Tribolium castaneum: one gene and its partners. The protein of the gene in region 1 interacts with the protein of each later gene in a pairwise test. Links are inferred from orthologs where the notes say so. Each region holds a gene or a part of one and is shown in the gene's direction. Other genes may lie near its edges.

Region 1 (6,079 bases):
GGATAATTCGATTCAATGTGAAAAATAATGTAAGTGTAAATAAACTATTACACAGGTTGTTCCGTCTAAACCCTACATTAGAAGTATTGGGAGTTCTAATGATAGTTATCTGAAAATTTGTGTACAACCATAACCTTTTAGGTCCTGCTTAATAAAAATATTTTCAAAATGGTAGCACTTCCGGTTATATCAGAAGTCACTATCATGTTCCTCATTTTAAACGGAAAGCTATATTTTTTAATGCGTTTTTGAATTACTAGAGTTATTTTAAGGTTCTTTTCATAAGCTCTCACTAAACCTAAATTTATTCGTTTACAAAATATTACAAAATGTTTTTAATTTTTTTTTGGATTTGCACCTTCCAGTTCAAAAACTGATAACTCTACCACTTTTAAAAGATTTTAAATCTTTTTCAGCTTATTTAAAAGAGGAAGCCTAGAACTTTCCTTTGGCGTTTTCAAATTTCTAAAAAAGAATAACAAATAATTAAGTTATAGGTACCTGAAATTGTCCAAACTTAACCTTAAAATTTTTGGGTTTATTAACTTCATTTTCAATTTTAAACACACCAAAGAACAGATAAAGGCCTTCTTTTTTAATTCTCCTAATATGATTTCCAAATCGCTAAACTAACCGAGTTACCAATTTTTTAAGTGACAGGTGCAAATCCAAAAATTTTCAAAAAATCTTAAATATCCTAAAAACGGTAAATTTTAGGTATAGGGAAAACTCTTAAAATAACTCAACTAATCCAAAAACGCAGTGAAAAACATAGCTTTTCATTTAAAATAAGAAAGTTAACAGCGACTTCCGGTATAACCGGAAATGCTGCCATCTTGAAAATATTTTCATTGGCAGAACTTAACGGATTATGATTGACTACCAACTTTTAAAAAATTTCTTTATTAGAGCTTTCAATACTTCTAAAGTAAGGTTTAGACGGAACAGCCTGTAGTTTACCATAAATAACAATAAGCACTGAAACCTTTAGCCTGTATTTGAAGAAAACGCAATTTAAAGTGCACCCTCAAACCAATGTATCTTTATGGGAAAGCCCCGAATCTTTATTTTTTTCTGTATTTGAACTACTGAATTAATTTCTCTTTAGTGTTCTGAACTCCGAAATCGTCAATTTTGAGCCACCTTGTATTTTACGGTTTATTGAACCTAATTATTAATTTTTTGCAGCCTTGAAACTCATTCAGGAGGATTTTGACCAAGAAAATGCCAAGATCCAGGCAAAAGTTGATTTGCAGCAAGTGACGTCGAACTAATCAAATTCGCGCCAATGTTTTTGCCGCCAAATAATTATTACACAAATCCGGGTTTTTGTATTCGTTAAATTTGTTTAAAATCATACACGAAAAGTTTGAATAAATAAATTGTTCTGGAACAAATAATCGGCGACAGGGTGGCCAACACAAGTCGCGTCTGCGCGAATTCCCCTACCTGTTTTCCCAGTTTTTGTCTGTCAACTGTCAAGAAAGCACCGAAGCCCGTTAAATTTTCCTTTAGAGTTTGAATAAGGCCCCATTAAATACCCCAGTGCCCACTTTTAGAGTACGTTTTGGTCATTTCGTGCGATAATTTTGAGGTAGAGCCTGATTTTTAGTTCTAGGATGTCTGGAATTGCTCCCGCTCGTCTCGCCGAAGAACGCAAAGCTTGGCGCAAAGAACATCCTTTTGTGAGTAATTCCTTACAAAATTGCCCTCATGTAATCCATTTCTCCGCAGGGATTTGTGGCCCGACCGTCGAAAAACCCAGATGGCTCTCTAAATCTAATGAACTGGGAGTGCTCAATTCCTGGTAAAAAAGGGGTAAGTTTGTTGCATTGTTTAGTAATTGTTGGGTTATCGCATTGTTGTGTAGACGCCATGGGAGGGTGGAAATTACAAATTACGCATGTTGTTCAAAGATGAGTACCCAAGCATTCCCCCAAAATGTAAATTTGAACCACCGTTGTTCCATCCAAATGTGTATCCGTCAGGTACGGTGTGTTTGTCGTTGTTAGACGAGGAGAAAGATTGGAGACCGGCGATTACTATTAAGCAGATTTTACTCGGAATTCAGGACTTGTTGAATGAACCCAATGTTAAAGATCCAGCACAAGCAGAGGCCTACACAATCTACTGGTAAGTGGTTTTTTTACGGGGTGTTTACATTTGACGTAGTCAAGAGTGCTGTGGATATTGTGATCACGTGATCAAGGAAATTTCGTATCTAGTAATCCATGAAAATGAAAACTTAGTTTCGTAAAGAAAAGGCACTAAGACAATAAATGGACAAGGTTACACTACGGACATCTAAAGGTTAGGATACGAAATACAAATTAGTACAAATAAAGCGTTATTGTCCTCGATAGTTCCGTTAATGTCACCAGAGGGCGCAGTTGATCCATTAGCATCAAAGCCAGTAGATATACTAAAGTAGCGACACGGACCTTGACAGGGCAACAATAACGATTATATACTCTAGAGAGGGCGCAACTATCGAAATTCGACATATACCGCATTATTTACATAAAATGCGTAGCCTTGAAAAGCCTTAGTAAGTGCGTTTTGTCTCTGTTTCTACGTTTAATCTTCACTAAATGAAATTGCTAAAGGGGATGCTCTAAAGAGATATTCGTTAAAGGTCACATTAGATGATAGATTTAAATCGAGAATGTATTTAAACAGGCAGTTTAGTTTTCCAAGGCTCGACATTTTTTGTAATAACGCTGTAATTTTAAAGGTTCGCCAAATTGTCAGTAATTTTGAACATACGTCAAAACTGTCAAGATTCTCTCACTTTTGAAAAATTGGTAAAGAGCACAGTGATTCTGGCGTTCATCTGTAGTTTTACTGTGGTTATTGGTTATGAACAGATTTCATGGAACTTTCAAACCTGTGCTTAAATCACGTAAATAATAAATCGACACCAAAAACATTAAACAAAAGGGCCTCCAGACTGTTCAAAGTCGTCCACATTACGAAGCACGTCTGTGTGAGAATACTGGAAACTCATTCAAACAAAAATTGTTTCAGAAACATAAAGTGTTAGGTACCAACTTGAAAGAGAAATTTCTAAGATACCAAATTTTCAATAAGTATTTCAGGTAGATTTAAACAATACTTCCTTGAAAATTCTTCTAAATTATTAGATTCTGTCCTAATGGGAAAGAATTTAAGACCGCTCTGCTTACACTGACCTTCGTTTCACAAAATTTAATGCATCTAAATCTGGGAATTGTAGCGCATCGAAGTTTGGTGGACTTTTTATAGCCACTTATTTACAGCAACTATGGTATGCAACATTTAAATAATAAAGAGAAATTCAGGTTGTATTATTTCTATTTCTTAGGTAATATCGAGGTGTAAACCGTACCCCAAATTTTGTACACCTGTAATTTAATCATGATTCCTTCTGATTTTTCCCTAAATTTTTAAAGTGATTTCCTTAAAATTTCTTGATTTACTCAATTTTGTACACTGATTTCCTCTGCGGTTTACCTCTCGGGTAATATTGAAAACATTTTCTATTCTTATTGCGAAAAATGTCTTGGTTTCATAGCAGTTGTTAATAGTGTTGAGGGAAAAAATTAAATTTAATTAAAAAAAAATAAATCGACCAATTTAAAATCTTGGAGTAATTACATACGATAAACTGTAAAAACACTTAGAGAGGAGTTTATTAAAATTAGAAATGTAAGTATCACAATTTTTTTAAATCAAACAACTATTATTTTGAAACGTGTTTTTGGCTTTTTCGTTAAATACAAAGTTCAAATTCTTTTAAGGAATGAATTCACTGTTGAAGCGCCAGCACCTTCTTCGAAATGTCCATAAGAGTTGCTGTATTCTGCGCATTCTAAAAGCCTTTCTCATTGCAATGTTCAGTTGAATTTAGGGACGATCTGATTTACTTTTACGTGAGTGAAGCACAAGTTTGAAGGTTTCATGGTATCTGTACACATAAACTGTAATAACCAGGGTGAAATTAAAGACGATCACCGAATTCATTGTTCTGATTCACCAATTTTTCAAACGTGAAAAAATCTTGACATTTTTGACGTACGTTTTTGAATTTTGATGGTGGAGCCATCTGTAGAGTGTATAATCGTTATTGTTGCCCTGTCAAGGTCCGTGTCGCTACTTTAGTATATCTACTGGCTTTGATTAGCATCAGGTTTTCAGAGCAATGAATTTAAAAAAATTGTTGGTAAATTTTTACTTTAGCTACTTCTGGATTTTTGAAAATTTTTTTTTTGCATTTTGCTTTAAAAAGCCTCTAGATCAAAGATATGACCTTGAAAGTTTGTGCAAATGCCCCGTTTTTGAAAAATTCGACCTTGAATGACCTTGACCTAAAAATTTTTTTAAAATTTTTCCTTTAAAATTGTGCCGATTGAAAATATGACCTTGAGAGAATTTTAATTGTGTTGCCATTTGGTCATACATAACATGGGGTCGAATTATACACCTGATAGTTAAAAAAATGTTACACTCAAATTTTGTTAACACTCGCTAATAAATGATATTAACCGTAAATGCAACTACAAATCAAGCACGGCGCCTACAGATGATAACCCGTAGGCTGGGGCTTCGCCCCAGCGAACTAAAAATAAACATACCCCACGAACGATTGAACTCGAAAATGTAGAACTCGAAACGTGGAATAATGGTTTTTATTGAATCTTTATTAAATGTGCACTATGAATTTCTTCACGACCCCATGAAATGTATGTCTAGTGAGACCACGAAGAGGCGGCAACGCTCTCACCGGGAGGGAAAGGTCTAGGTGTGTTATTATTGGTAGGTATGTTAGTACCAAAAAAGTATAATGAAAGATATGCAAAATACCAGAATGAAATACAGCCTCAAAAGCTGAAAATAATCGGTACAAATGGCTAGCCCCAAGTGCAAAATGTGGTAAAAAAAAATGAAAAAATTAACAATGGGGAATTCCGGGGTAAAGCTGTGATGCCGCGGTCCAGAAATGATGTAGACGCTCTCGATGATCTGAGTAGGTCCACAGGAAAAGTGCTTCGGCCAAGTAGCCTTCGTAATGATCTTTGCTACGGCCTGCCCGCGGCATTTTTCTTCGCACTTCCACCCAACATCTTTCGATGTTTTGAGTGTGTGCACCGGTGTTTGGGTCAACGAAATTGAGGGAATGGTTGACTGTGAGGTGGTGATAATGTTCTTGAGACAGACAATCATAAGCTCTCCAACAATCACTCATAATTGTCGTCCCAGGGAGAATTCTTTCCTTGATGATGGAAAGGAGAGTTTCTGATGTGCGATCTGGAATTGCCACAAAGAAAGAGCGTTTCGTTTCACGCTCAATTCCGCCAAACACCCATTGGCCCTCCAGGTATCGGCCCCTGTTGTATTTCCGCTTGCCAATTTTGGTTTCGTCAATCTCAACAGTTTTGCCTTCACCACCAAGAACCTCAGAATGTTGAACAGACCAGAAAATGAAAACTTCCCTAATAAAAGAAAACCAGTCAACCAGTGTTCGAGAACTAATTTCCATTTCATTTGAAATGAAACGACACCTTGGATTGTTTTGAAACAAATACAAGTGCACCAATTTTGCTACTTGTGGTAAAGTTAAATGGGAATGTTCGAAAAAGGTGTCCTTGAAAACCGAAGAAAAAAAATTGCATTTCCGTTTGTTTTTTTTGTTGAATTTTTGGCACCTGAAAACGAAATCGTGCATTTCCAAACGTGAGTTGCACTTGGGGCACTGAATGTGGCAAGGAAAAACATGATGACGAATGAAAAAATTCAAAAGGCGTTGTTGGTCCGCCATGATGTTAAAAAATGTATCAACTTTTAAAGAACAAGTTGTACAATGATTCGCATACGCATACTCACAAGCCGCTGCCTCTGGATCCATTTTTTTCGAATTGAAAACTGAAAATTGTAATTTCTTGAATAACAAAGAAAAACAATTGCACTGGCACAAAAACTACCTTCTTCACCATCAGCAAGTAAAATAGTGATGGTGAAATGCATGAAGGGACATGCGGAAATGCAACTACGCATCTCCCACTTCCGTCAATCAGCGAATCAGAGCACAGAGACATAAATT
Region 2 (4,516 bases), on another chromosome or scaffold:
TATCTTCACATAATCTTTGATTTTTGATTTAAATATAGATAGGGTACCTGCATTTCTAATATTGTTTGGTAACTTATTATATTCATTAATACCCTTAAAAAATAAAGATAACATTGTTTGTCGGTAATTTACACTTTGAACATTAATTTTGGAAGAATCCCTAGTCTGGTAATTGTGTACACTATTTCTGCAAATAAGATATTCACTGAAATACTCTGGTACTCCAAGCTTAATTATTTTATATACAAAAATCATGGTAGAATAATACAGTCGTTGCGTCGCAGAAAACCACATTAGGGCCGATAACATACATTTTATAGGTGTTAAGCGGTTACATCTTAAAATTATACGCATTCCTCTATTCTGAAGCTTTTGCAGTTGTACAACATGACTAGGCCGTAGCAGGTACATAAGTGTGGCACAATAATCAAAATGTGGTTGGACAATACAATTGTAAATTAAAATTCTTGTTTGCATTGACACATGCGTAGATATTCTTAAGAAAAAAAACAATTTCGTCCTAATTTTTTTACAAACATAATCGAGATGACTCTCAAAATCGAGCAAGCTATCTAGGTAAAATCCTAAATACTTACATTTATTAACAAACTCTACAGTTATGTTATATATGCTTAAATTAATGTTGGCAAAATCAATTTGGTTGTATTTATATTTAGTTGTAAAAATTATAGTTTTAGTTTTGGACACGTTTACTTTAAGTTTATTTGTGTTAAAATATTTTTCAAGTATTTCGAGAGCCTTGTTCATTTTTTGAATACATTTATCAAGATCAGTGTCATAGCATGCTACCAATGTGTCATCGGCAAACAAATTAACAAAATCACAATCACAATAGTTTACAATGTCATTAAGATAAATTAAAAATAAGAGACTAGACTCTTAGGAAGCTAAAAAGGTTGTACAGAAGAAAGCTAAAAAACTGTAGAGACAGTGAAACAACGAAAAACAAAAAAAAAGAAATGAATATAAAATATGGGAAACACTAAGAAACTATGAGATTGAAAGACTGGAAACACTCATAAACAAATGAGAAGTTTGTAAAAAAATTAAATGTAGCACACAATTTTTTGTTTTTGCTTCTCAGAGATCATCAAATTGTCTAAATAAAAACATAAATCATAAATATGAAATTCCCAAGTTAATAACTAAAAACATAAAGATTTTTGACCTAAATTGGTACATTTGTGAGTTTTGTGAGAAAATTTTGCGAAACAATTGAGTTTTTGCTCATAAACGTACGAAATGTTTGAGTTTGAAGACGAACTAATTGCGAGAAATAATCTTTATCAAAAACAAATCGATCCACAATTTATCCACGATTTCTGAACTCAAGTGTAATAGAAATATTGTAATTTTCATAGAAAACAGCGAAATTCTAGTTGCTTTGGCCGACATTTAGGAAATAATCAAACAACAGTTTTTTGCTGAGTTTTAATCGCCTTATGATTGGCCCGCTTTACAATTGGGAGTGCAATCTCCCTCCCATATCCAATGACAAACGCTTCAATCGTCTTGAAATTTTTTGTGCACCTGATAAACAAGTAGGAGGTGATTTTAATATTTTGATTGGTCAAATTACACATTTCAGGAACAAATAAAACACAACAGATTCAAGGGCTGGTCTTTCTTACAGAACGTGATTTTCGCCGAAGATTCAAATAAAATTATCGATTCTAGTGCTTGTTTATTTGAAAAAATTAATAATTACAGTTTTTCGAAACCAAAATATAGAATAAAGGCTCCTGAAAAATAGACTTTAGACAATCCCACGAACTAATTGGTCTAAATCAATGTTTAAAGTTTTAAAAATGTAAAACTTTGTGTTTGAGTAAACCGTTTTCTTTTTGCAGAATCCTTAGCACAAGAACTCGAATTGGAGAGAAAATCCCGGCAGCAACAAGTTGAGAGAGACGTGAAGTCACCGCTTCAAGATCGTTCCGGGTATTACAAAAATTCCATGCTGTTCACAAGCACGGCTACATAAACATAACGTACGAGTTTTGCTTAGATAAAAGTATAAAGTAGGTTTTAGATCAGAGCGTACAGTGCTTAGCAATGTTTCGATTGGTATTATGCATTCGTTTTAAACGAGATATTAAGTTTTTTCCTTAAAATACGTCCAGTGTCGTGGAGCATATCAGTTAGTGATTGTTTGATTTTTAAGACTGATTTTGGGCATGGAGAGGAACGATAACAATTTCAGTACTTAACTTTTCTTATTGCTCAGAATTCGCACTTCGTGTACATAAACACACCTGTATATAATTTCTATTTTGTAATCCAACCCAATTACTTTACTATGACTGTTTGGAATTATTCTAATTAAATATCTCCGCTTTACATGTACATATGAGCGTCAGTATAAACCTGTAGAAAAGTCATTTTTCATGTAACAACGCAGAATAGAAGATTGTATATTAAAATTTTTATAAAGTTAAAGTTTTGCATATCCATGTGAACTTTCTACGATATGATATGAACATAAAATTCATTTGTACATTATTTCGTAATCTGAAATGTTTTACACAGTGTAGGATTTTCTGACGAAAAGTATACGCCATTTTGACAATCATTGTCAGAAATTTTTCAAATATCAATATTGTCGTTTGTTTACACTCAGTATTATTCAGATTAGGTGCAATACTGAACCACAAATTGTACGAACGGTAGTGTTCTTAATATAGCACAGTTTTTTTCTTACTTGCTTGTATCATAAGTAGGCTAGTTTATAAACTGTTCGTGTTAGACTATGTAAGAGGCAGTGTGTATGTATTTATTGTAAATAAATGTATGTGTGTGCCTTGTAGAAAATAAAACATAAAAATTTCGAAACCATTTTCTTCACATTTCTTCCCCTAGAATTTATGTGAGTTTTTAATAATAGCTGATTTGATCAAAGGCAAAGATCAAAGATCTGCGGCGTGCCACTACTTATTTATTTTATGATGGCATAACCCTTGTTCTCTGCCTTTTAAATGCAAAATTTTGCAATTAAAATCACAAAGCATCAATATGCAAATCACTGCTTGCCAACATCCGTAACAACATCTAAGCGAACTGATCAAATCGTCGGCTAATTATTAGCAATTCTGCAAAAAGAACTTCCTGACTGCTTTACACTTTCCTTTAATGACAGCTAAAACGTCTAATAGCTGTACGAATACCAAACATCTATCTTCACACTGTCTGTCTAATTACGCATCGTAATTCAATTTCCCCGATCTAAAAATTAAAAAAAATACGCGAGCTTAAGTAGTTAAGTGACGTAGGTAACTCATTAATTAATTCACTTCCCCAATTAATTTAATTGCCACAATCATCAATCTCATCAATCAAATAACGTCGTTATTGTGATCAATAAAAATCCGAAGGTTGCGCCCTTATACAGGACAATTAACAGAAACCTAATATAAGAGGTGTGAGGTGTCCCTGAGCCAGAATTAATGAACACCGACAAACAGATCGCAATGTCCAGCCCATGATTCCAATGAATCCTGATAATATATACAAGAATTAGCATATTGAAGTCACAGAGGCGTAATCAGTGCAAGCAGTCAAGCGAGAGATTGTCTCTCCCTACAACAGCAGCCGCTGGAGCTGCTATTACTACTTGTTTTCTTAAATTTACTGTTGATTGCTTCGTATTCGATTAATTTAACGCAATCTGACGGATTGTTTGTTGAAAATCAAAGCGAAGGACTCGCGCCAAATTGACGATTTTTAAGAACTGGTCTGCGTTTAATCGATGATATTTTGCTTGCTCACTCTGTAGCGTCTTTATCTTATCTGTAAATAGATCTAGATCTGGCCGGAATTAATGAAATGAGCCATAAAAGGCGTCTGCAACTCGGCGATATGTCAGAATAGTGTGAGTAAATAGGGCCTGTATCCCTTTAGGGTTATTTATGTGTTGTAATGAAATAGTAGCGCTTGTGCCCTTATGGTTGGTGGCAATTAACACTCGTGGAATAATTTAGTGTTCCGTGGTCGGTGTAATTACGCCGTAAATAATTTTTGATCTTGGAGGAAAGTGTGATCTCGTCATCGAATGCAGCCGCGTTTTAATCAGTCGATGGTTAATGAATCTGATTTTCGCGGAAAATAAACAAACCGGTGCGAGCGAAAGCGTGTTTTGATGGTGTTTTCGACACTTCCAAGTGAATTTTAATTCGATTAGATTCTCTGTATTAAATTTACATTTTTTGATTAAAGAAAATTAAAATTTGCTAGATCTGTTTGATAGAAGCGCCGGGGATATAAAGTTAAATTTGTTTTTATTAACGTGCTTTATTATCTTTGGTGCAGTATTTTAGAAACGCGGAGATAAATATAAAAGCTTCATCAATTCTCAGTGAATTGTATCAAAACATATTCCGAGCTTGAAGAATAAATCACGAGTAGAATCCATTACGAGCTTGAATTAACGTCATCTTGAAAAGAATTAAACGAATGGAATTAATTATAAGATTGATGGATTTCTCAAATATCTACCGAC
Region 3 (5,471 bases), on another chromosome or scaffold:
CAACAGGCACATTAAGGTCTCACACAGAGTTGTGTTTCCTTTGGAACTGAGACTTTTCAACACAGTAAGCAATTTGTTTAAATACCACCAGTTAACTAATTACTTGAGCTTTTGCACTCTTAATAGACTAAAATTTTCATAAGAAACATGAGAGAAAAATTATTCAAAATTTGCGCTTCGTTCCGTGTTTTTCAAAACACTGCGAATACGGTTAAAGATAAATGTCCGAGATTTTAATAATTTGAGTTTGAGCTACAGTTTAATTGTGTTTTCAGTCGGACGATGCAGTTAATCCCGACCGATTATACGATTTAGTAGCTGTTGTGATACATTGCGGAAGCGGACCTAACAGAGGCCACTACATCAGTATAGTCAAGAGCCACGGTTTCTGGCTGCTGTTTGACGACGACCAAGTTGACGTAAGTTTAGTGCGTATTTGAGAATTCCCGATGGTTATTATTGTGCTTTTGAATAGAAAATAGACGCTTCAACAATAGAAGATTTCTACGGCCTCACGTCTGATACTCAAAAGTCTTCAGAAACAGGCTACATCCTTTTTTACCAGTCTCGAGAGAGTTTATGAACTCTGCTGCTCCTTGCCTTAATCATTGAGAGGATTTAATACAAGTACAAAGTCACCTCTCATTGCATTGGGACGGGTAATGTTTATGAAAAAAGTCTGTAAATATGATTTGAAACTGAAAATTGTTGGATTTATATTTTATTTATTGCATATTGTAGTTTCCGGCCGTACTTTTTTCCTAAAATTTTTCTTTCAAAGCGATTTACCCGTACTTTTCGAAACGAATCGACGTTGATTTTGTTGTTCTGTTGCAATAAATAGCGATATGTTGAAAACAAGATTTACTTTATTGTGGTGGAACAGCATAGGAATAATTGACTGTATGGTGAATTTTACTTGTTTACTTAATTTGTTTTTTACAAACCTTATATTTATTCCAATTAGCAATAATTCTTAGGTGGTAACCAAACCGTGCATCTAATTTAGCGAGTATTATGTCCCCTACACGGTAAAAAAGTAAAATTCACTCTTCTTATTTTGTTAACAAATACTATACAACTTTTAAATATTATATGAGAAACTAGAACATACTGTATAAATGCTGCTAAGCAGATTTTATTTTTATTCTGTAAATATTCGTTAGATATAAATATATTTGAAAAAATGCACTGACTCGTTTCATTTCAAACACCCAAATTTGTTTTATGTCTTTATTACACAAAAGGCGTACAAATTAAGCAATAAATTCATATGGGATAGGAGCCAATTGAACGGCTGGTACTTTCCCACTGACGATGTGTGCAGGCCTTGGCTGTGCTGGCTGTCTCTTCAAATTCACTCGAATGTTCTTCTCCTTAGCTTCTTTTCGCAATTTTTCGTTTTGTTTCACTCTGGTCAAGAAGTCTTGCCTGCACTTGGAGTGATTCACGTGCTCAATACGGATATTGATACGTTTGGGGATAATACGGCCCCCAACACGCTTGTTAACAATCACACCCAAAGCGTGAGCCGTCACATTGAACACACGGCCAGTTTTCCCATGGTACACCTTGTAGGGCATGCCCTTCTGAACGGCTCCATTGCCCTTAATATCCACGATATCGCCGACTTTGTACACTTTCATGTACGTCGACAGGGGGATAACCCCATGCTTGCGGAACTTCCGAGAGAACAGGTCCCGGGTTCCCCTACGATAACCTTTCGAGTTCGTCATTTTTCAGACCTGCAAAAAGGGCACAAGTTATTATAAGACCAATATCTCAACACTGTAACGTTTATTTGTAGTTCAATTTTATCAAAATTATGAAATAAACATGATTTTTGTGCTTAACCTACCTGCCTTACAGAACACGTTTTAAAGAGGAAGAAAATGGCGGACGCAATTTCCGCTTGAGTCTTTTTCTAGCGACCTCTATCCTATTTTATAAATCGTAAATTATTTATTAAATTTGGTTTGTATTATCAAATTGATAATATAACAGGCATTTTGTGGTAAACACCGGTCCATTTGTTGTGCAAAAATGTGTAAAAAGCCACCAAGTGTATTGTTTAAAATATAGATTCCTGTATTGCCGATGTATTTTTTCTAACCACACTTCTTTGTTACAAAAAATATTTTGAAATTTGAAAATAAAAATGTCGAAAGTACGGGAAACACTTATTACAAACTGTGAACGAAAGTTTTTGATGAAATGCTTGTCGGAGTGGAGGGTAAAAGCGGCACATTTAATTTACAATTTAATTCCATCTTCCATTTAGAGGTTAGATGGTCGAAGTTTTGACGAGTTCAGGCCACTAGAGCTGAAATTTGGCAAACAGTGGGGTTCCTGTTACGTTTCTCTCGGCAACACAAAGTAACCTTCACTTATGAAACACTGACTTCAGTAAAGGAATAGAGTTTTAGCTCAAACATCATGCGAAATCCAACAACCCAAGTCTTCACGACCTAGTGAAGGAATTCTAAACATAAATATCGAGTTGAACCCACTGGCAGCCCCTCATTTCGAAGCGGGCAGACAGTCGGAATTGTCAGTGCAGTTGAACCGACTTTTGGAAAAATGTGTTAAAGATTCTAAAGCTGTTGATTTGGAATCATTGTGCATTAAAACCAACGAAAAAGTATGGGCTTTGAAGGTGGATATTAATGTTTTAAACCATGAGGGGAATATTCTGGACTGCGCCTCGATCGCCATGTTGGCTTCTTTGACTCATTTTAGGCGCCCCGATGTCACTTGTGATGGCGAAGAATTCATCATTCACAGTTACCAACAAAGGGACCCCATTCCTACGGTTATACACCACTATCCAGTCTGCATAACATACGCTATTTTTAATGGAGGGTAAAACACCTTTTGAAAATTTAATTGAAAGCTTGTATTATCATGTTATCCACAAAAAATACTTTAGCTGCACGAATTATCACTTAGAATTTTCAATTTGCGGACTTGCTTGTAGGAAATTTAATTCTCTACAACATTTTTTTGCGTGTATTCGCAGCGTTTATCCGTAAAAAATGAGCATTTTATTAAAAGGACTTGCAGTTTTTTTCTCTTAGGGAGTATATTCTTGCGGACCCGTCACTACTTGAGGAAGGTTCCGCAGATGCAATGCTAACAATAGGCCTCAACGGCTTTAAAGAACTGTGTGCCCTACATTTAGGGGGAAAAGCTGAACTTGCACCAAGTATTATCCTGAGTACAGTTTCTAAAGCCACATCTCGAGCTACTGTTGTGATAGAAGAAATAAAAAAATCAGTTAAGGCCGATACTGAACAAAGGTAAAACCAACAACATGTTGCCGAGTTATAAATTAAATTTCAGGCAAGAGAAGGCTTCGGTAGGCTTTCATACTGAAGATAATTTCAAAACAACTCTAGTCTTTGGCCAGAGCCTTGATACATGGCATACGAATAAAAAGAAAAGAAATAAAAAACATAAAAAAGCACAGCCACAATCCCAGAATACGGTCGTTATTGACAAAGGGTCAGTGGAACATGTGCCTCAGACCGAAAACAAGAAAGAAGTCTGGGACGTTGATAATAACAGTGACGATGACTTAATAATAGTCGAAAAACCTAAAGGTATTACTTAACTTAATTGAAACTAAAATCATGTTTTTTTTTCAGTTCAAATCGAACTCCTAACAGACAGTGAGGAAGACGATGTGGTGATACTAGGGCCTGTCAAAAATAAAAAATAACTTGTGGTTTTTTATTAAATGCATTTTTTTCTTAAAGTGTAATAATTTAATAAAACTTCTAAGGACCTAACTTCAAGTGGCGTCATTGTTCACACCGTTCTTTTGGTCAAGCTTATTGCTGTTTGTTTTGACTGTATAAATAAAAAATGTGACAACTTCCTTCTCCTTGACTTGGATCGACTTAAAGTGTTTCATTAGAGTCTGTGAATGTAATAATTAATACAAAACGTGGATTTTAACCGACTCACATCTGCCAGTTGTGCCTTGTTCAGTCCAGGTCTTGCGGAAACTTTGTAGTGCCTTTTGTACCTCCTCAAAGTGTTGACTCCTAGCTGAAACAGGTCGACTTCTGGCACGTCAGTGTCCGTCTCATTGCTGTCATCCTCCGAATCCTTCCTCCTCCTCTTGGTCCTTGCACACTGGATGATCATCTTGTGAAAGTCGCAGATGTAAATATGCTTCGCCTGGCAAAACAACAATAATTTTCCGATTGAACTTTGCGTTCGACTTACTGAATTATCAATACACAAATTTAACCTCCTTTGCGTCACTGTCTTCTGGATGCGCTTGCTGTATGAAGCATTACCGGCGATTTTGTTACAACGTTCACTATTGTCTATCAAACAGCAGATTTGATCAGTGGGTCCTCTTGAATCTTCCTCGCCCGTACTAAATCCGTTCATTATTCGAAGTGGGTACGTATTTATATAATTTGGGTGCTGATGCCAGTTGGGACGACTGTTCTGCACATCTCTTACACGATACTCGACGTTTTAACCGCACCGACACAATAAATAAAAAGCCAAATTAAACCGAAATGATCATATGGTTACACAAAACCACTATTTGACTGGAGTTGGGGCCTCGAGGGGGCTGAGAGGGGGTTTTAAGGCGTTTTGTTTGTTTGGGAAAAAGCGACATCTGCATTAGGTAATCATCACTTATACAACGTTTGGCTTAGCCAGGCAACGTACAGTCACCGGCGTAAAATTGGTTGCCGACCATAAAGCGTAATTTTTTAAACTCGTTTTTTATTATTCCTAAAATACGTCCGTGTGTCCCTATTCAGTTCCAAATGCACTTAAAAATTTTGGAAAAAAATGTGGGTATGTGAGAAAATTAAGAATAAAAACGATAGGACAAAATAATTATATAAGATAAGTGTTTTGAAGTACGAATTATCGTATACGGTTTCTACTCGTTGCAACAATCCGATGCAAAAGTAATTCGGAAACAGATAAAAAATTAGGAGAATTCAAAATATGCATGAAAGAATTTAGTTTAGTGGATCTTATGAGGTCTGTTCATCTCGTCCAGCTGCTTTATCTAGCGTAGTTCATTTCCTGCTTCCGCGATTCGCTCTTTTCCAGTTCAGTTATTCACTTAAAAAAGGAGGCAAGGAAACTGTTGGGAGAAATTACGATAATCAGCTTATCTTTAATCGTTGAGAATGTTAAATATTTTTTTTCATGTTTTTTTTACATTTTAAAAGTCTTACTAAACTAAACAAAAAATTATTATTATTGTTATTATTATTTTATAATTTTTTTAATAGCAACCTACTCGGTATTACAGTTTTTTCGTATTTATTTTGGGTTTTCCAAGATGCTTTAGCGTGTCTACACATTTAGAGGAATCCATATACAACCCCTTATCAAAACGAATTTCCTTGTCGCAATGATATAAGTCTTCTGATAATTTCTATCGCTATTGTTACAGATCAATGGGAAAGTGAATTATGTTCACTATC
Region 4 (6,167 bases), on another chromosome or scaffold:
TTTTCAACAACAAATTAAGATCTATGCAATTATTTTTTACAAAAGTTAGATTTCTTCCACTTATTTGTATCGAAAAGTCTACTCTGCACGAACATTTCCGGGGTTTTTATGCGTCCCCAAGGTAGGCTTCTAGTGTCAACCATAATCATCTATTTTTGTTTTTGTTATTGTTTATTTACAAAATCGGTAACAGCACGCTTTCAGCAATCACTGTCTTATCACTTGCATCGTTTCGTCCACTTCCCGAGATGCGAGACTGTTGACAATTTTGTATTTATGGTGGTCATTTTTGTAGTTGGAGATATGTCAGGGTTAGCCACAACAGCACCCTCATCGGCTGACGCTTGCCTGAGCATTGTGCACAGTCTCATGTGCCACAGACAAGGGGGAGAAAGCGAAGGCTTCGCCAAACGTGCTATAGAGTCCCTGGTGAAAAAGCTAAAAGAGAAAAGGGATGAACTAGACTCGCTTATCACTGCTATAACCACCAGTGGGGCACATCCGAGCAAGTGCGTCACGATCCAGAGGACTCTCGACGGCCGCCTGCAGGTACACACAAGCTTTCCTTGCAATTCTCTCAAGCGTTGTTGCTACAGTTTCTGTGTTGTTTAGGTTGCCGGACGCAAGGGCTTTCCGCACGTTATCTACGCTCGAATCTGGCGATGGCCCGACCTCCACAAAAACGAACTCAAACACGTGAAATATTGTCAGTTTGCGTTTGATTTAAAATGTGACTCAGTATGTGTGAATCCGTACCATTACGAACGGGTAGTGTCCCCCGGCATTGACCTCTCTGGACTTACGTTGCAATCTGGAACCGCTCGATTAGTGAAAGATGAGTACACCGCTGGACCGGTCCCTGGAGGCAGTATGGACGTAGACAGCGAAATCGGCATTGAAGTCTCCCAGACCATCCAACACCAGCCCCCACAGCAGAATTTCGCCCTGAGCGGACTTCAGGCACCTTCCACAAGTAAGCTGCGTGTTCTCACTCACTAGTCTATTGTATTCTCTGATTCGAAGACTTTTTATTTTAAGAACCCACTTTTCGTATTTTTAGTTATGCATGTTATGTTTTCGTTGTTGTGGTAGGTGAACAGGGAATGTATAATTCACCAAACAGACCAGTTATGGGACATCCCGTACCTAAAATTGAAGGGGGAGTTGACGCATGTTCCAGATCTAGTTGGTTACCGCACATGCATATACCTCATCGTAAGATTCTTTTTGTTTTATTTTGCATTTTCTCAAAGCACTGTTGTGTTACTCGTATTGTAGGTTTAGTCTAGTTCGTACAAAAAAACGCCCGTCTCAGTGTTACTACTATTGCATCGTTTTAAATATTTTTCTTACACCTTAACTTCAAATTTCCACTTAGTAAATGCTTTTCCGGTGACTTCATTTTATCGATTGTACTCAATGTTAGTGTTCAGTTAATTGCTACGTGAAGATAAAGTAGTGAGTTCTTCCAACAAACACACAAGATTTGGTGTTTATACCGGGTGTTCCAGCAACTTGGTAAAGATGATTTAAAATTACCGAATAATTGTTTTGTTTTCAAAATGCCAACACTAAATTATTTCAAAATGTACCTTCAGTTTAACTTTATAAGTTAAGTAGAAACGAAAATCGTGAACAAAATAAATAATTTGATCCCTCATTATATTATGAATTATTAAATTATAAAATACAGCAAGCGTTCTTTTATTAAAAACGATAGAAGTGTACATAATTTATTATTTGTCGACGTTTTTAAATCCCGAACGACTGTTAATATTCTAAACTCAAAAAAACTTTTAAAGGTAATAGATCACCTGGAATTATTATCAGTTAGCGGGGTGTTCGACAATTTTCGAAACATTATCTCACTTGGGCTAGATTACAAATTTAAATATAAAAAATATTTGATTTCATTTTTGACGTTTAGTTTTTATTATTGGTGATGTTGAGCTAAACTTTTATTGATCGATTTTTCTTAGTTCTGTTACAAAAACGGAGTTTTCCAAAAAAATACTACAAAAATAATATTTTCACTTGGAGTAAACTAGCGAGTTGGTTTTTAGTACTTATTATTCTTTTCTGAGAACAACCAGTAATGTACTCTGGGCAGGGTCCACACTCAGTCTGTAGCTGTACCTGTGTTCACACTTCGGTTACAAAGGTCGTAAATTGTAAAAGATCGCGTGGCTAATATTTTAATCTCTTAAATTTGTGAAAGTTTTCTTTGAAAGAAGTCAATAATCTTATTGTTCCCTGAACTGTGCCTGATAGGTACTTAGAAATTAGAAACCAGGATTCAGGTATAAGGAAGTTCCATTTTATCAGTGTCTGGAAACAACAGAATACAATGTAGGTCTAATTTCATAGCTTAAGATGTTTCGTTACAACAGTCAGAAAATTTACAAATTGATACCAAATATACAGTACACATCAAAAGTCTGGAATAAAATTAAAATTTTTTTGGAGGACCATTTTGTAACCTATTATTTTATAAATATAAAAATTGTATAAAATAAATAAACTGTTTCATAATACATTATTTTGTCTGATTACTGTTGATATTTCTCTAAAATTTTTATACACGGTAGTGAAGTTACATTAAAAACTGAAAAAAAAAACAATTGCTGCATCGATACTTCTATTTATATGGAGTTGATGAAATCAAACAAATTTATTTTCTGATAAAACTAAAATTTTGAAAACAATTATTTTTCGGATTTAAGAGATTTATTAGATATGTACGCACATTCACAATCACTTACGGGGAAAAAAAATATAGATTGATTTTATGTAATATTTTGTTTCTTAACAAATATTTATTTTGGTGACAATGCTTTCATTTTCGTGACAGCTTATAATTATTTACTACAAGACACAAAAATTAGAATTAAATGAACAGGAAAGTTTCGGCGACGCTTTGAACGAAAAAAAAAAATTCTTTAAAGGTAGTAATAATATTTATTGTGTGAGTGAGTTTGAAGTAGTATTTTTTAGAGACGCGTGTTTTATTTAAATTTTGTGCAAATTACTGTTATTCATCTTCTAATTGTAACCGATATTAGGTGGGAGTAACCCTCCCGTGTCGCCCCATTTGCAACAAAACGGGTTCAACAACTCCACCCATACGACAACTGCTGTTGTTAACAACAACGGTGGTACCATAAGCGGCAGCCAACCCGCGGCTACGGCTACCATGGGCCAATCGTTCACTGGGGCTGGTGGTACTTGGACAGGATCTAATACGTTAACCTACACCCAATCAATGCAGCCCCCTGATAACCGCACCCATCACACAGCTTACTGGAACACAAACCAATGCAACGACGTAAACATCGCTGGTCTGTTGTCCACCCAGCCAGCCCCCGAGTACTGGTGTTCCGTCGCCTACTTCGAGCTGGACACTCAAGTGGGTGAAACGTTCAAAGTACCCTCAAGCTGCCCGAATGTGACAATTGACGGCTACGTCGACCCCTCTGGAGGCAACCGGTTTTGCCTTGGTGCGTTGAGTAATGTGCACAGGACGGACCAAAGCGAGAGAGCGAGACTGCACATTGGCAAGGGGGTTCAGTTAGATTTAAGGGGCGAAGGCGACGTTTGGTTGCGCTGCTTAAGTGACCATTCCGTTTTCGTCCAGAGTTATTATCTGGATAGGGAGGCTGGACGACAACCCGGCGATGCCGTACACAAAATTTACCCGTCAGCCTACATAAAGGTATTGTTTCACGTCGGAAAATCGGGGTTTTAATTGCCGTTGCAGGTCTTTGATCTAAGGCAGTGTCACAACCAGATGACAACTCAGGCAGCCACAGCACAGGCAGCGGCGGCGGCACAGGCGGCGGCGGTGGCGGGGCACATCCCTGGACCGCACTCAGTCGGCGGGATAGCGCCAGCCATAAGTAATTATTTATTTCATTTTTTTACAATACTTATTTTTATGTAAAATTTTCTACTGAACTCACATTCATTGGTCTTTTGTTGTCTGCCTGTCTGTTTCATATTTTCCGGGACAAATTTGAAACGGTTTCTGTTGTCCAAATGAATTGAAATTTTGCATACTTACGTAATCTGCATGACAATGCAATCGAATGTAGTTAATCACCCCCTGAGAGGGTTAAAGAGGTTAAAAGGGATGTTATCTTTTAGGTTTGTCGGCAGCCACGGGAATAGGGGTTGACGATTTGCGAAGACTGTGCATCCTGCGCCTCAGTTTTGTGAAAGGTTGGGGCCCGGATTATCCTCGACAGTCCATTAAAGAAACGCCTTGTTGGGTTGAAATCCACCTGCACCGCGCTCTGCAACTGCTGGACGAAGTGCTTCATACTATGCCGATTGATGGACCCCGTGGGATAGAGTAATTGTGTGAATATTTTGATCCCCTTTTGGTAGTTCGGTGGGCAAACAACGATTGTTGTCAATTCCGAATTTTATGTTTGGCACGATTTGACGGCGGCAAGTTTGACAAAATATTTTGTAAGTGAGTAGTTTATAAGTTTGTAAATTACGCTTATATAATACTTAATTTAATAAGTTTGTAGTGATAATCACTTATTTTCTACATGAATATATATTTTGTAAATATATTGCAAACAATTGCCTTACAGTCGGACAGAACTTTTCATATATTTTCATAAAATTACCTTTTTTCAATTGGTTTGTGCCATTTTATTTTGTAGAAGATGGATGCCAAATTTGAAGTAGTAATCGCACACGAAATGATAAGGGTAAATATGTACATTAGGCTGTGAAAAACTGAGTAGTGTGTAAGTTTTTTTCGTTTTTGTTGCTTGATATTAGTGTGGTACTGAATGTCTTATTTAAGGAACCTCTTTTTGTATTTTTCTTGTCACAAGTACCTAACAAACTGCAATTTTTTCATTTGCTGTGTAAATGTAGATAGGTATAATATAGATATTGTCTGACACAATGTATGCTACTTTTTTGAGAATTACGCCATTATGACATGTAATTGACATTTTATTTGCATAATATTGTATTTAAAACTTGTGGAGTAAATGCTTCATCATTCCACAAAAGATCTCACATAACAAGAAACAACATGCTGTTACCAAAATTTTTACTACATTCGTGATTAAGTTTTTTACAGTTCAAGTAGGTAGTAACGATGTGCTGAGATCACAGAAATCATGCGTTTGATTGCTTATTTTTGTTTATTTATAAGCAGTTCACTTGACATTTAAAATAGCACAGGATCCAATCATTTATTTATGGTTTTATGTAAATACCTAAAATGTAAAAATAATTCTTGTAAATATACAAAATTATTATAAGTGTTTATGAAAACATGTATTGAGTATTATAAATTTTTAACCTTTCACTATATTTTATTTGGAAATTGTTGATATATACATATTTTAATACATTTTTTTGACTGCATAATGAAATGTACATTTATGTTTAAGTGTTGTATTTACAAGAACGTATAAATTACAAGTCAAATAATTTTAAAATAATAAAATATTACATATAGAGCTATTTTTATTTTACCCTTTAACAATTGCCTATTACTCTCCTTGGCCGACCTAAAGTGTTCGCCATCAAATTGTCAGTCGCGGCATCAATAAAAAAATTAATAAATAATAAATAATAATTTGACAAAATTGTGTTTTTTGTTGAACTTAACAAAACGCCTATAGAAAAGAATAATATTTTGGTGACCCAATTTACTTATATATGGTTTGGCACCACGTAACACAATCTCGCAAAAGATTGAGTTTTCAAATTGTGGCTGAGGTCCGACAATCTTTTAATGTAATGTTGGTTGACTCAAAAATTTTTTCAGGCTCATTATTACTCTTGGACGAGCCTGTATAGTTTGTAATGTTGATTTATTTAAAAAGTTTGTGTTAAAATATCTGCAAAAGACGGTCAGTCCCTGGGGCCTGGTGGCCTAGTGGTATAAGCGCTACTTTCGACGGGGGAGGTCGGGTGTTCGAACCCGGATCAGGTGTAAAAAATTTTCTATGAAAAAAAGTATAGAAAAGGTAAGTAAACAACATGTAAACAAAAATAAGAGATTGAGAGAACACATAGACGTATAAACGAAAAGCGGTGCATAAAACTGACAGAAATAAGAAAATAATGCGGCAAAAGGTAAAAGTACGTAAAAACGCCAAATTGTAAACGTATGGGCACATGCAAATAAAGAG

Evidence for each region.
Region 2: the proteins of lwr (region 1) and dac interact in a two-hybrid assay, tested with the Homo sapiens proteins (2 studies listed by BioGRID and IntAct). The link is inferred for Tribolium castaneum from reciprocal best matches to the Homo sapiens genes UBE2I and DACH1.
Region 3: the proteins of lwr (region 1) and Rrp45 interact in a two-hybrid assay, tested with the Homo sapiens proteins (2 studies listed by BioGRID and IntAct). The link is inferred for Tribolium castaneum from reciprocal best matches to the Homo sapiens genes UBE2I and EXOSC9.
Region 4: the proteins of lwr (region 1) and Med interact in binary tests that used the Homo sapiens proteins (3 or more experiments, as listed by UniProt). The link is inferred for Tribolium castaneum from reciprocal best matches to the Homo sapiens genes UBE2I and SMAD4.

The regions. Positions count from the first base shown.
Region 1 is NC_087399.1:9,252,191-9,258,269, reverse strand, and holds the start of lwr (SUMO-conjugating enzyme UBC9-B), read left to right. Parts: upstream 1-1,412; 5' UTR 1,413-1,560; intron 1,561-1,612; 5' UTR 1,613-1,619; coding exon 1,620-1,685; intron 1,686-1,734; coding exon 1,735-1,818; intron 1,819-1,870; coding exon 1,871-2,133; intron 2,134-6,079. Other genes in the region: transmembrane inner ear expressed protein, read left to right, coding at 1,189-1,274. UniProt on the Homo sapiens protein: Accepts the ubiquitin-like proteins SUMO1, SUMO2, SUMO3, SUMO4 and SUMO1P1/SUMO5 from the UBLE1A-UBLE1B E1 complex and catalyzes their covalent attachment to other proteins with the help of an E3 ligase such as RANBP2, CBX4 and ZNF451.
Region 2 is NC_087402.1:1,975,504-1,980,019, reverse strand, and holds the end of dac (dachshund homolog 1), read left to right. Parts: intron 1-1,871; coding exon 1,872-2,005; 3' UTR 2,006-2,853; downstream 2,854-4,516. UniProt on the Homo sapiens protein: Transcription factor that is involved in regulation of organogenesis. Seems to be a regulator of SIX1, SIX6 and probably SIX5.
Region 3 is NC_087402.1:3,055,276-3,060,746, reverse strand, and holds Rrp45 (uncharacterized protein Rrp45), read left to right. Parts: upstream 1-2,011; 5' UTR 2,012-2,158; coding exon 2,159-2,233; intron 2,234-2,281; coding exon 2,282-2,376; intron 2,377-2,418; coding exon 2,419-2,862; intron 2,863-3,077; coding exon 3,078-3,299; intron 3,300-3,342; coding exon 3,343-3,602; intron 3,603-3,647; coding exon 3,648-3,721; 3' UTR 3,722-3,791; downstream 3,792-5,471. Other genes in the region: Usp12-46 (ubiquitin carboxyl-terminal hydrolase 46), read left to right, coding at 1-64, 276-419, 476-583; RpL21 (large ribosomal subunit protein eL21), read right to left, coding at 1,257-1,736; histone deacetylase complex subunit SAP30 homolog, read right to left, coding at 3,794-3,922, 3,970-4,185, 4,234-4,404. UniProt on the Homo sapiens protein: Non-catalytic component of the RNA exosome complex which has 3'->5' exoribonuclease activity and participates in a multitude of cellular RNA processing and degradation events.
Region 4 is NC_087403.1:6,335,059-6,341,225, reverse strand, and holds the end of Med (mothers against decapentaplegic homolog 4), read left to right. Parts: exon of another isoform or gene 1-108; coding exon of another isoform or gene 109-121; intron 122-204; exon of another isoform or gene 205-276; coding exon of another isoform or gene 277-295; coding exon 296-549; intron 550-612; coding exon 613-973; intron 974-1,092; coding exon 1,093-1,215; intron 1,216-3,062; coding exon 3,063-3,712; intron 3,713-3,757; coding exon 3,758-3,896; intron 3,897-4,143; coding exon 4,144-4,355; 3' UTR 4,356-5,487; downstream 5,488-6,167. UniProt on the Homo sapiens protein: In muscle physiology, plays a central role in the balance between atrophy and hypertrophy. When recruited by MSTN, promotes atrophy response via phosphorylated SMAD2/4.